Arabidopsis thaliana: one gene and its partners. The protein of the gene in region 2 interacts with the protein of the main gene of each other region in a pairwise test. Each region holds a gene or a part of one and is shown on either strand. Other genes may lie near its edges. The genes, in order: AT4G10080, KCO1 and AT5G15240.

Region 1 (5,001 bases), on a different chromosome or scaffold from region 2:
CCATAATCTACAACAAAGGCCGAAGAACAACAATGAGAAAGACTGATTTATCAACAAACTCAAAGAAATCTCTTTTTTTGAAAACTATAACCATAGAACATCATAAAAATCAAAACTTTAGTTTATAAGAAGCCAAAGAGACAGAAACACCTAAACCATCTTGAGCTTCATCTTCTAGCTTCGCTCGTTTAGCCTGAGAAGAATCAGATGTTTGATTGCTATCATCCACGATATTTCCATTAAGCTCAACTTCGTCGAGCTTTCGCTTGAGATCGACAGGCGGCGTAGAGATAACAACAAAATCTTCCTCCGTCATCTGGAAACGAATCGTCCGGCGAGGAATTTAGGGAAAGCTGAGTACTGTAGGGTTTGGGGAAGAAGAGAATTATCTCCGGCAGTGAAAAGAGTTTGGGTTGCGACTCTGAACGGTGGTGGAGAAGTAACGTTTAAGGCTTTAACGTCTATTTATAATGTTCGGGCTTTTATTGGGCCTAAAAATGGGCTACCAGTTTTTTTTTTAAAGTTATCAAAAATAATGATGTTTTCTTTGTTGATCGTCGAGGGGATGTTGTTGAGACGATAGCTTCTACTCAAATTTTGTAGAATCGACAACATAGTAGAAATTTGTAGGGTCTTTATTTCCATTGTAGTGGTTTTATCGACTTTGGACTATGTCCTCCTCTCTATAATAGTTTACAAGCTTGAAACCCCAATGAAATCCATAACAAAACCCACATATAGCTTATGAAATTCTTAAGATCAAACATAGAAAAAGGCTTACCAACTGGGATTTTCAGTCTCTGAACATACATAAATCGCTACGGTAATCACTCTGCAGTGTATCCCACGGTTGGGACACGACTCACATACGCGATTTCATAAGATGGTAAACTACTACTTATGCATAGGTACGACATAAACACATGTATTTGTATTCTTACGGTACATAAAGTGATGGACATTGTATGATTGATTCTCCACTGTGTCTAGGTATTGTAGAAAACGGCTTCTCATCTAAGGCTCAAAACCGGCCATGCGCCAGGCGATGGTAGAGCAGGGCGGATCACAGGGACCCTTCTTACCTCTGTGAACACTTCATTGAGTCGAGCAGCCTGACTCATCACCCGCGACGCCTTCTGCACAGATCATAAACAACCCAAGACGTGATAATGATAGAAGTAAACCAACACCAAACAAATACCAACCAAGCAAAGAGATGTGCGCTAAGGGAAAATATCAAATCACAGCATTTTCAGCGGATGATGCCTCAGTATTTTTGTACTTAATTCAGACAGATTACAAGAACATATTAACTACAAAATCTATATCTTAGAGGGGGGTATTGGACATAAATTCTAGATTTTCAGGTATAATAAAAGAATTTCGAATCTTTCTTCTCAATTCAAATAAATATTTTGCAGTATTTTTAATAGAATTCTACTAGAATTAAGAAGATAAATTACTGAAATCTTTTGTTCCACAATGCTCTTTATCGGGACAGCCACCATGCCCAATCTCTAAAAACTGTACTTTTTCCTTCACAAACCTCTTAACCCAGAAACAATCTACGTTGACGTTTACATGAAATGGAAGAGATCCATATTTTGACAACAACGACAACGACGTCATCACAACCTCCGCTCATCTGCTCTCTATAGATTAACGCACTCTCCTCATATATAATCGAACGAATGATGATCCGAAGAATAAACCGGATCGAAATCACAGATTCTAATAAATGTGTTAAACACTCTCCCTCAGATTTGAGAATTTTTTTTGTATGGTTGAAGCAAATCGATGAAAGAGAAAAAAAGGATGGATGTGTTATATTCTATCCAAATCTCAACTCAAAAACTCAGAATTTGTTCTTCACATTTTAGACCAATTTTTCTATTAAATTCTTGTGAAGTAACGTTGTCAAACAAAACTACCGAAAACTGAATAACACTTGCAACTAATAGAATTAAGAAATGAGCAAGTTAAATAACACAAGAATTTAAAAGAATTTGTGAAATGTCTAATTGAATAACACTAGAATTTAAGATTCTATTGAAGTCTATCAAATTCATGCGTCCAATACCCCCACCTTAATATAAGGCAGGACAAGACAAGAACTAAACTAAACTTGAAATTCTACGGCTCAAGTCAGACCAATTGCATCAACACAACATAGAGTGTAGCTAACTCCTAAAACGTATCAATCTAGACCAGCTTACCAACTTCAAGCAAAATGAAAACACAAGGGTCAATGATAATATAGTGTACCTTATCGTCAATCGTAACTTTAAGATGGAACCTTTGAGCTTTCTTCTTCATATTATACAATCTACGTCCCAAGAGAACCAAACCCATCACAGCAGCAGCCATAGAGACAGACCAAACCGGACCAATCCTAAACACAGAGTACTTAAGAAGCACAAATGGCATCTTCCACCACACAGTCTCTCTACTTTTACCCTCACCACCAGAACTCACGCCTCCAACTTCCACAGTATCTCCTCCACTTCCCTCAATTACTTCACTAGAAGCAACTACACTATCAGAAACAACTTCTTTTTCACCATTCACAACCCCAGAATCTCGAGAAACCAATTCATTTCCCCCTAAATCAGAACACAACTTGCTCGAATCCTCAATAGGTTCTTCAACACCCGATTCGTTCTCACCGTGCCTTCCATCAACGAATTCTTCGAGATTCTCTGTTTCATAGTGAGATACGGTTCCACCAGTTAATTCAGTAGCAGCTTCGCTCTCAACATATTTCTCATTGGCAGCTTCAAAATCACTAAGCCTAACCTCACCATCACCCAAAATTCCAGTTTCTGAATCATAAACCCCAAATTCATTTCTGACACAATCATCACCCGATTGACTAACACTGAACTGATCCAAACCAGAATCAACACTAACCTCACCCGGATTCAGACACTCCGACCCGTAATCAACCCGAAAAGAATCAAAATAACCCGATTCAATCACCCGATCAGTAGCAGAGAAATGATCAGAAAGAATCATACCGTCATCGATTACGCTTGAACTCTCTAATTTCGTCTCCGATGTGATTGAATCAGTTGATTCTGTATCAGAGCCATGATGAAGAAGCTCCCAATCATCCATGATGATCGAATTCGAAGATTTCAGATTGGGATTGCAATAATCAGAAACCCTAATGGATAAAACCCCAAATATTGGAAAAGGATCGCAACAAATTAGAGCGGTTGATGATGGAAAAGAATGGTTCTTATCCACTTTGAGAAAGTAATTACGTGGAGGTATCTAATTGGTTGCGTGTCAATCTCAGTCCTCAACTAAATTTTTTGGCATTAAAGTTTAGTAGATTCAGAGAACTATAGTATTTATTCATTTTGTTCTTTCATTTTTATTTTATTTTTTAAAACGATTTAATTAGGATTCGGCAATAAATCGTATGGTGCGGATCAAATGAATTAAACAAATATGTATCGGTTAAAATAGAGTAGACGATGTAAGAAAAATATATATAATCAAGATTCAAACGGTTGAGGTGGGTTTTGCAAATAAATCCATCGGTAGATTGAAATATTTTCTTATTTATTATTTATAGATTAGTATTTATAATAGTACTGACCAAAAATATAGAAAAAAAAAATCGGTAAAAACTTTAGACCGATTTTATATAGAAATAAATTTAGTTTATAACGGATTATTGTCCGCTCCAAAATTAAATGGTTTAGTCTCTAATAGTTTAGTTTGTTTCGAAAAGAATGGTTCTTATCCACTTTGAGGAAGTAGTTATGTAGAGGTATCTAATTGGTCACGTAACATTCTCAGTACTCAACTAGATCTTTTGACATTAAAGGTTGGTAGATTGAGAGAAGTATGGTATTTATTCCTTTTGTTCTTTCATTTTTTTGGTTTTTCACAATGATTTAATTAGGGTTCACGACGAATCGTATGGTGCAGATCAAATGAATTAATCAAATACTAGATGATTTACCCGAACTATGTACAGGGAGAAATAGTTATATGAAATATATAAACAAGTTTTTGGAAACAGATTTTATATTATCACTTGATATATAAGTGTGAATATTTGAATATGATTTAGTAACTGATATATTTTGGAGATTTTATTAGTTAGGAATTAGGATATTCTATATTTGGAATAAGATTTTAAATTAAAATATTGACCCAAAAGAAAATCTGAAATATCATTCCTATAATTCAGAAATATATTCGAATATTTTTTGTATTTTATAAGATTTTATTTTGGAAACAATTCAATATAAAAACTGAAAAGAGTATGAATAATTATGTTTTAAACGTAATAAATTTTTGATTATCTTTTATTATTCTTCATAATTCTATGTAGTTAGGATTGATTTATTGCATATCCCTTATTTTATTAATCAATTTATATTGTTACGATAAGGTTTTGGGTTGTAAATAAATTTTAACTAAAATGAGTAAATGACTAATTAAATTGAATAAACTGTGTAAAAGTTTTAATAAATTGATAAGGTAAAAATTTGAAAAGAAATAATATTGAAAGTAATCAGTAAGCGGATACATTTTTAACATAGATTAATATTGAAATATTGTTCATAGTGAATGTGTAATAAATGAAATGTTACTAACTAATTTATGTAAAACTATGTTCCGAATATATTCAAGAATCATATGGGCTCACATATACATTTAGATTTTTTGCAATTTATAACAAAAAAATAGAATGTCATATATGTTAAAATTCTAAATGTTTTCTATAAAACCTAAAAAAATAAAGTACGAAACATATAATAAACATTTATATTATATGTTGTTCATCATAATTTATGATATATACTTTTTACTTGTTTGCTCAAATATATATGGTTTTTTGATTAATTTTCTTTATTAATTGCTACTCTCTTAAATGTAGAGGAAAAATATGCATAAGTACCACTAATGGCATTATATGTAATTAGTCTAGTAAATATTGGATAACTATTAAGTTTGTTGAAAGTTTTTCTGGTTACGACA
Region 2 (4,134 bases):
AAGTTGAAACATCAAAACCTTCTTCTCCTAAGGTTAGTGATTGATTTCTTACGTACAAGACAAGTTTCAAAAAAATGTTGTTAACTCTTTATCTCTCATTGTATGATTTTGTAGAGTAAAGCTGAAGAAAACATCTACTTAGGACCACATGGAGCTCCTCCTTCGCAGCTACAAGATGGTGGTAGTAACACATCGAGCCGCAAGCAGCGGTTTAAGCAGATGCTCAAGGAAGCAGATCAGAAAATGAGCGGCTCTGGTCGAGAAAACAAAATGGCTAACTTAAGAGAGCTTGTAGGCGGGGGTGCAGGTGCAGAGAAAGGAACTAATATGGGAAAAGGTGTTTCAAGAGACTGGCTTGACCCTCATTGCCATGAATCTCAGTTCGAGAAACGACGACTTCCATAACGCGAGAAACCGCTATCTTTTGAAAATGTTTTGTATCAATCAAAATACCAAAAAAGTTTAAAGCAATAAAACAGTCTTCATACCCTGTCCTTTGAGAGAATCATCCATGAATTCTTGGTCATGGAGCATAACACTAGAGAGCTTCATATGTATAGATGTATGTAAAATTATACACTCAGCATCAAGAAACGATCAAAGAGTTAGAGTGTGGCATTACATTACAAACACAAACAGGAAAAAACAAACAAAATTTCGAAAAACTGTTCACTCTCTTCGGCTTTTTGTTGTGTGAAGGTATAACTAAACAAAGATTCTGATTCGTCTTCGCAAGATGATGATGATGATGAGGCTTACCTTTGAATCTGAGACGTGGTCTGAGCTAAAACGATGTCAGAAGTCGTGAGAGTTCCTGATTCATCGTAATCAAGTTGCTCGAACTCATCCATTATCCCAGAAATATCTTTCTCATCAATCTTACCCATTTCTTTCAGTTTATACACAATAAACTCTGCAGCTCTGCAACACACAATAGACAAAAAAAAAAGAATAAGAAGAGGAAGAAGGAAACAGAAGATAGAATATGTCTGATGTCTTTCTTACCCAACAACTCCATCTTCATCGAGATCAGCTGCTTCGAGATCATTGTTTGTGATTCTTCGCGTTAAAACCCATTTCACCAACGCCCTCTGTTTGTTTTCTGTATTTAGCTCAGCTACATAAAGGAAAAACTGAGCCAAACATATGCTGCTCGTCAAGATCCAAAACACAGCAAAAAGGCGTCCGGCTTCCGAGTTAAAGCTCTTATCTCCATAACCCAATGTTGTAACCGTGGAGCAGACGCAGTAGAAAGCTGAGATAACCGGCATTTTCTCAACCATTACAAGGAAAATCGTGCCAACAATGAAGAGGACTACAAGGACAAGGCATGTAGCATAGCATTTGTATCTCAACTTGTTAGTATGCAACTCCTTGAGAATGTCTGTTGGACCAAAGCTTTGACGCAAATGGAAAGCCCTAACGAGCAAAGCCTCTTGTTTCTCCACTAGATAATCCGCCGCTCGACTTAAGAGGTGACCAACGAGGACCATTCCCGAGAAGACGAAGGCACAAGCAAGTAGCCTTGAGGCGGAACTATTAGGGACAAGGTCACCGTATCCAACAGTTGTCATCGTTACTATACAGAAATAGAGAGCATCTACCACACCACTGGTTTTATGACCGGAGATCTGGTCTCTCACGAGGTAGAAACAGAGCGTACCAATGGTAAGATATAAAGCCAAGAACATGATCACTCGCCTGAGATTCGGGTTTAGATCACTGAACATTGGGATTTTACTCGGATGAGGAGGTGGTTCGTCGATTTTGACATCATCATTGTACATACAATCACCACGAGGAGCACTTCTAGAGCGACGCAATCTTCGTTTTCTTGAAGAAGAAGTTCTTGAGTTCAGGTTGAAATCTTGAGCCATGGTATCTATCTTCTCAGTGGGTAACAATGGCGTACGAGCTGCATCACTCGACATTTCTAGACTCAAACCAGATTAACTATGAGATCTGCACAGAACAATCAAATCTCATGTTTATGTTACGAAAACCATCGCCAAAATTGACATCTCCTGTTCTGAGAAATGAACATATGTATCAAAAAATTTGAATTTCGTAACAGAAACTTGTCAGAACTTAGATACAGATTTTGAGTTATAGCTAAAGATTAGACCTTTAGACAATGAAAAGATGAGTTTTGTGAGAGTAATCAATCAGACACAGAACACGAACTGAAGGAGGAAGAAGAATTGAGACATACCCAGGAAAGTAAGATCGAAATCAAAAGAAGCGGTGTTGTCGGATCTCGCAATTGGTCTTCATTGATGATGTTCTCACAGTTGGCCAATTCTTGTTTTTATTTTATTTTAATTATCTTCTTTTTTTTTGGTCAAAATTTATTCTCTTCAAATCCGATAATTTTGTTTTTATGATCTTCTTCATTTTCTTGATAGGATTTTTCATTAGTATCTTAGTATAAAAATGTTTTGTTTTGTTTTTTAAATGTTTTTTTTCATATAGAAGAATGTATGTAATGTCTTAATTTTCTAGTTAGTTTTCTATCCTTCTGTTTTTTTTTTGTGCAAATCTAGTAATTAGTTTTATATTATACACTCATAATCACAAGTAATGTACAAGCCAATAAGCCAAAATATCCAGCATGACGTCATGTTTAATCTATATCATACAATAATCTATATGTTTTATGTTAATGTCAATATGTTAAGATTTTTATAAGTCGATAAATCACATTTTTTTAGTGTTATACATGACATCAAAGATGTTATTAATGCACTCATATGATACATATATATGTGAAGAATTGCATACTTCAAAACATCCCCACACACAAAGAAATATAACACACACTAGTATTTGACATAGTTCTAAAACATTACTAAGTGATTGATATACATGGTAATTTGACATAATTTTAAAAACATTCAACCACTCGAGTATAGGCTCATTGATATGCATGTGGAGAGCGATATAAGATCATTCAACACCAACATAGACCATCTAAAGCTGATCAGGCCAGAGAAATGATTCAATTGCAAAAACCCTCTTGTCTTCAAGAGATCCTTCAAAGGAGAATCCATATTGTTTGAGGAGCAAGTCAAGGCGGAGATCATCCATAACTTCGTAATCAGACTTGGAGTATTTAGGGTAGTGAAGAGGGACTTGGAATCCACTTGGGAATTCTTCTTTCTTCATCATCTTTATAATTTTGTTGCGGGTGCTTTGGCAGTTGCTGGCTTGATCCATATGGTTCGAGTAGCCGAACATTTGGGTGAAAGCCGATGTAAAGAGCAATTTCATTTCCATTGTCTTGGTTGATTTTAAGATTTTATACAAAAAAGGAAAGAAAACGAAGGTTTGAAATAGAGAGAAAGAGTAGAGAAGAAGAAGAAAGAGAAGCAAGGAAGCTTAAGACAAAATACCAAAAAAGGAGAAGCTTGAGACAAACTCTAAGGCAAGCTCGATGTTTGGTTATAGTAAAGGCGACCAAAGACTAGTATATATATAGAGGCAGGCAGGTAGGTCAGTAAGACAATTATTATTTGTCTTTTCGACATGATAATCGTCATTTGAATTTTATTTTTATCATCAAACTATAGTATGTAATATAAGATGTACTAGAAATTATTTGTTTTTGTTTTTTTAATTAAACAAAAGTATGATTATAACGAGTAGTTCTTGTTCTAAACCAAACCAGTAAACCTTTTTCCTTTTAATGAAAAAAAAGTATGATCATAAATAACAAAATGTGAGAACGACGGCTGTGAGCTACATGCACCAGGAAACGCATCGGCCAATGATGGTTCATGCATTCATGCACTCATTATCTTAGGTGGGGACAAGTATAAAACAGTTGTGGTGTGCAAGGAGAAAGTAGGTGAAAGTATTTAATATTTATATTAACTAAAAATAACATACTATGTTTTTGAGGTTATATGAGTTTTGGTCTTTCTTTTTAATTTAAAACCATTTTTATTGGCATTTTTTGCGGAATACCTTGTATATTCTAGGAAAAAACACTTTTTATATAAAACAGTTAAGATTATGATATAATTAACAAATTTTTAATAAAGAGAGAAATTAAGAAAGAAGAAGAAAAATGGCCATGATAAATACAGTAGTTGGTTTTACTATTCGGTTGGTGATCCTTTTGTTCATTTTGAT
Region 3 (5,410 bases), about 18 Mb from region 2:
TGGTCTCACGTGGTTCTTACCGGGAGAAGATCCGACATTGGTGTCTAAACAGCAATTGTTCGCTAGAATCGTCGGAGGACTCGGAGGCAGAGCCGCCGAAGATGTAATTTTTGGAGAACCGGAGATAACCACCGGCGCTGCCGGTGATCTCCAGCAAGTCACTGAGATAGCAAGACAGGTACAGTAATTGAAACAAAATTTTCATAAACCGGAAAAAAACGGTGGATTTTCTAATTATTCTTATGGTTCAGATGGTGACGATGTTTGGTATGTCGGAAATCGGTCCATGGGCACTAACCGACCCAGCGGTTAAGCAAAACGATGTGGTTCTACGGATGCTAGCGAGGAACTCAATGTCCGAGAAACTTGCGGAGGATATTGATTCTTGCGTGAAGAAAATAATCGGTGACGCTTACGAGGTTGCGAAAAAGCACGTGAGGAATAATAGAGAAGCTATAGACAAGCTTGTTGATGTTTTGTTGGAGAAAGAAACCTTAACGGGAGACGAGTTTCGAGCAATTCTGTCTGAGTATACTGATCAACCGTTAAATACCGATGGCGATGTAAGAATTCGAATCAATGACTTGATTAGTGTCTAATACAGACACCTAGATCAACTCATGTCTTCATTTAACGTATTCACATTTTTCTCATTCCAAATTATTACATAACTCAAAAAAACTTCGTTAACGAAAGTCACAAAAAATCAAATAAAACAAATTATGGTATTGGACTGTTGGTAGTACAAATATCTTCCTAAACAAATACTCTATAAGCTAAACTTCACCTATTGGGATTTCAAAATCGACCAAAAATGTCCTTGACCGCTTGGTAAGTTCCGGTTATCACAACCACGATACCGGTTAGAGTGATTCCGATGAGCACCAATGTTTCGAATCCGAGTCTTTGATATTTCCCAGAGATCTTTAAGTAACATAAACATGGCAATATAACCGATGCGGATGCGCTCAAGAATGCTCCCACAAGACTCATAAGATCACCAAAAAACGGAAGAAGCAATGCCACAATCACATTGCTAGTAACTAGTATTGTACTTAGCAAAAATCCAGAAGCTCTTTTATTAGGCAAAACTCGAGAAAACCGGCTTCTCATTGCGTCAATAATAGGTGTAACCATGAGAGCAAACTTAGCTATTGGGTTGACCAATGTAGTCCATATCGCCACTTTTGAACTAAGCTTATCAGTAGGAAGATTCAAAGTGATCTGTGATTCAACATCTGATCCATACATTAAGTAACCCAATACCGCCACTGATGCATATATGAAGGTGCATATTGTGAAACATATAATCATAACCTGAAAATGTTAAAAAAAATATGCAAAATTATTAGTGTGAGTTTTGGTCAAGAATAACCTAATGATCCGTTATGTAAAAAACTTACGTTTGAGAATTGGCGTTTGTTCTTCATGGAAGTGTATAGAGTTGGGAAAACTGGATGAGCGCAATAACAAAACGCGTATAAGCTCACCGAAGTAGCGACTCCATTAAGTCGAAAGACCTCTGAGTCATTGTTCTTGAACCCTACGCCTTCAAAAGCTCCAACCGAAAAGATAGAAGCAAGAATAACCCCGGAAGCAAAGACACCACTCGCGGAAACATAAGAAAGAATCCTCATATTGTCTAACCAAACCGAAGGAAGAATAATGAGAGCCACCATGATGATGAACATTTGCTTGCCTTGGAATTCAAGCCCCATGAAGTTGAGTCCAACGTTTGAGAAGAGTTTGTTAAGGTTGTCACCTTCTAGGATCAAGAAACTAGTTGCAACTAGGTAAAGCTCGAGGTTCATGAAGATGGAGACGATAACACGTCCTGTGTTTCCAAAGGCTTTGTAGCCAATGTCCGGGTATGATCTAAGAAGTGGATCCATTTCCATACATCTCTTAATGAGAATGGCACAGTAGAAAGTTGTGATCGCTACGGTGAAAAGTATGATCAAACTTAGCCATCCTCCGGATGCTAAGGCATAAGGGACCGATAATATACCCACACCTAAAAAAAAAAGAGTTGATCAGAAGAATGTCCAAGCCTAACGCATATGCTAATTAACGTTTTTTGTGTTAACTATTTACAAACGTTCTTTTTGTATATATGAAAACGCAAACGCAGTTTTTAATTGAAAACACAAACGCAAAGAAATATTCGTGGTCTCGTTACCAATAAGATAATATGATTTGATTTTATCAAAGTGGTTTGTAGTCTTGTAGAAGAAGAAGAACACAAATTGAAAAGGGAAGACGTGTTGTTAATGTGTTAAGGTTTTGTTCAGTGACACGTTGTATTTATATCTGAAAGATAATTGGAATTGCTGGTTTCTTTCTATTTAATTATATGGACTGTTTTTTGTTCGTATATGGTCTAGTTTGGTCTAGTTTGGTCAGACGTGTTTCCAGTATATAATTAGTTTTTTTAGTATAAACTAAGTATCTAGTTTGGTATATAAACAATTAAGTACAACGATAGCGGCCAGTTTGATAAACCCATTATTAGGCCATTACCACATTTAGCGAATAAATAATAGCAATAGTCATTGAAAACTTTGCCGAATTGTTAATACTATAGTGTTAAATTCAGTTAAACGGAACCATCCTAACCTTTAATAGTCAGAACAAAAATGATTTGGTTATTTAGCACTATTGTTTATCAAAGACTATGAAACTGAATCTAGACGAAGAAAAACACAATTCAGTCTAAGTAGAACTGGTTTTAACTTGGTTATGATAAATTATCAACAGAAAAATTAAATAACTAAAAAAACTGAGGCAAGACTAGGAGGTAAAGAAACAAAATGTAGGATTGAAATACACACCAATCTAGATGATACAAGATAAAGTCAAAAGCTTGAGTTAAAAACATGCATCTATAGAAATTAAGTACAATAAAGCTAATTATAGTTTTTTCTAGATTATTTTGAAAATTAAGATATATCCTATCCATATATGTGGACATGCTAAGAGTTGGATCTTTCCCCGTGAGTTATGGAGTTTGGAGATAAGAAGAAGTGGTGAATAAATCAAAAAGAAAAAATCAATCACGAAAATGAAAATAGAAAAAAAAAAAAAGAAGAAGAAGAGGAAATTAAACCTGATAAGGCGTTAATGCCATGGAAACAAGTCTTGGAGAAAGAAGTATTGCCCTGTGGATTATAATCATCAAGCAATGATTCTTCATCATCAATCTTCTTAACGATAAATGGCTCCGACATGTAATCTTTGTCCTCGCTCATACTTGTTTAGTCTTTGACTCTGCTCTTTGGATATCGAAGAGACAAAGAGAGAGAGACGGAGAGATCGAGAGACGAAGGAAATAGATAGAGAGAAGTTGGAACTTGGAAGTAAACAATAAAGAAACCCTCAAAAGGCAATATATATAGTGTTAATACATTTACTAGGGTCAATGTTTTTAAATTACATCAATTATTAGAGCTGATTTTTATGCAGTATCCATGCACATATGATATCTACACGATATTAGCGTGGCAGTGGAATTCTATTTAATGTTTATTGACCAATTAAATATTCGTGGATGGGGTTTTTAGAAACTAATTGAAATTTAAGTGCAACTCTTTATATAGAAAAAAATTATAACCACTTACACACAAATCTACCATAATTTGCGATTTGTGTGGTTCTAGAATTTAATGTTAGTTGTATAAGAAAATTGGTAGGAAGAGAGAAAATAAAACTCCACGAAGTTTTCCACTTTAATGTTAGGGCGTTTAACTTAGGTGATAGAGAGAATGCAAGTACCAAATCCTCTTTCGGTGAAGACTGAAGAGGGATCAAATTTTCATAAAAATACATGGTCCAAAGTAGTATATCATGTCAATAATCTGTTGGACGAGACTGGAGCACTTGAAAAATCGTCACATATTTTTTTGTTGTCGTTTGTTAAAAATAGTTGACAAGTGAATCCCCAGACCTAAAGAGTAGATAAGTATGAATAGCCTTGATCTGACGTAAATCAATATCTTGACGCTAGTTTACAGTTATGTTCTACAAGGTGCCGAGTAGTTCTAACAATAATGAAAATATCGACATATATATCTATATATTTTCGTTACTATTAAAACCATACTGCAAATTTTTTACAGTTATCCAATATGTTTTCATTCAGAAATCGAAACCAAAAACTTTTATAGGTTACAAAATGAGTTCTTTAGAAAAGAAGAATACTCATTGCCGGCCATTTCCCCATGTTGTGCTTGTGAAAAAATAGCATGCACATGTTGATAAAAAAAAAAAGTATCTTCTTCAAGATCACCATTCAAAATGCATGTGAGATGTCTAACAAAGAGAGCTAAATTGAGCTTTGTTGTTAATGCTAATAACTATAGTTGTACTCCAAACCTCATATTTCTTGTCGATTAATGTCAATATATAAGGCATTATTAAGAGTATTTATTGATACGTAGGGTAATGAACGGGTAAAACGTTTATAAGTTTGTGGTTCATATCATTGCACCGATTGTAAAATATCGTTGTCGTTATTTATTTCCAACTGCCCAAAGCCCAAGTCTTGTATAAAAGAAGATTGCGGCAAAAAGCAATCGCGTTAGAACACGTGATTTTGTAAAAAGCTTGGAAAAATCAATAATGGGCTTTTTAGTACTGGGCCGAGAGACCCAATGTCACTCTTTTCTACATATGCATACTTCTTTCGCAGGAATTTTTTAAATTGTATTATTTGGTTTGCCTTACCCTTTATAGTATTACTATTTTCGAAATGGAAAATATCTTTTTTTTTGGTGGATGAATGGGAAAATATCTTTAGAAACACAAGTATTCATGAAAAATATCATTCATAGGGCCACTCTCATTTTTTTTAGGATTTAGAACAAAATCCGAAAAGGAGTGACATAACATTACAACATTAGGAATAAAGTAGATAAAACATTGATCAAAGGAAATTTAGTTATAGTTGAAAATTTTTATTATAAAAAGGGAACGAAGGGAGATTTTTTCAAGGGCATTTTGGTCCACCCTCTTGAGTTTTCCAGTTGTTGTAGCAGGAGCAAACTTGTTTGTTCCCATAGTAACCCGGAGGCACACAGAGACACTTCCTGCAGCATTTGTTGCAGAACGTAATGCAAGCCTTGTGGTACTGTGTCTTTTTACACCTCCTATCACATTCCGATGGGCATTCTGGTTGTTTCAAATACAAACAATATCAAAATGTTAACACTCAAAAATTTTTTATTACTAATAAAAACAACAGAATCTAGTGGAAATTCATTAGCTTTTTTTTTTACTGTTTTGTGGGTCTCAAGATAGTGGGTTGCTTTGACTGTATGACCATATTAAGGGGCAATTTCGTCAATATCTAATATATTTTGAGTCTACGGATCTGACCAAACAGTCCACTTAACACTTCACTTTCAACTTATTT

What was found.
Region 1: the proteins of KCO1 (region 2) and AT4G10080 interact in a protein complementation assay, tested with the Arabidopsis thaliana proteins (one large-scale study listed by BioGRID).
Region 3: the proteins of KCO1 (region 2) and AT5G15240 interact in a protein complementation assay, tested with the Arabidopsis thaliana proteins (one large-scale study listed by BioGRID).

What each region holds. Positions count from the first base shown.
Region 1 is NC_003075.7:6,299,444-6,304,444, forward strand, and holds AT4G10080 (uncharacterized protein), read right to left. Parts: upstream 3,302-5,001; 5' UTR 3,118-3,301; coding exon 2,266-3,117; intron 1,137-2,265; coding exon 1,011-1,136; 3' UTR 576-1,010; downstream 1-575. Other genes in the region: AT4G10070 (KH domain-containing protein), read right to left, coding at 1-7, 151-316.
Region 2 is NC_003076.8:22,529,515-22,533,648, reverse strand, and holds KCO1 (Outward rectifying potassium channel protein), read right to left. Parts: upstream 2,292-4,134; 5' UTR 2,213-2,291; exon of another isoform or gene 1,963-2,212; 5' UTR 1,932-1,962; coding exon 1,006-1,931; intron 922-1,005; coding exon 756-921; 3' UTR 527-755; downstream 1-526. Other genes in the region: AT5G55640 (Na-translocating NADH-quinone reductase subunit A), read left to right, coding at 1-32, 115-405; AT5G55620 (uncharacterized protein), read right to left, coding at 2,971-3,276. UniProt on the Arabidopsis thaliana protein: Voltage-independent, large conductance and potassium-selective tonoplast ion channel. Regulated by cytoplasmic calcium and pH. Does not mediate slow-vacuolar (SV) ionic currents, but essential to establish VK currents.
Region 3 is NC_003076.8:4,945,600-4,951,009, reverse strand, and holds AT5G15240 (Transmembrane amino acid transporter family protein), read right to left. Parts: upstream 3,434-5,410; 5' UTR 3,249-3,433; coding exon 3,107-3,248; intron 2,436-3,106; exon of another isoform or gene 2,015-2,435; coding exon 1,404-2,014; intron 1,318-1,403; coding exon 799-1,317; 3' UTR 600-798; downstream 1-599. Other genes in the region: FTSH6 (FTSH protease 6), read left to right, coding at 1-178, 252-599; GASA4 (GAST1 protein homolog 4), read right to left, coding at 4,985-5,166.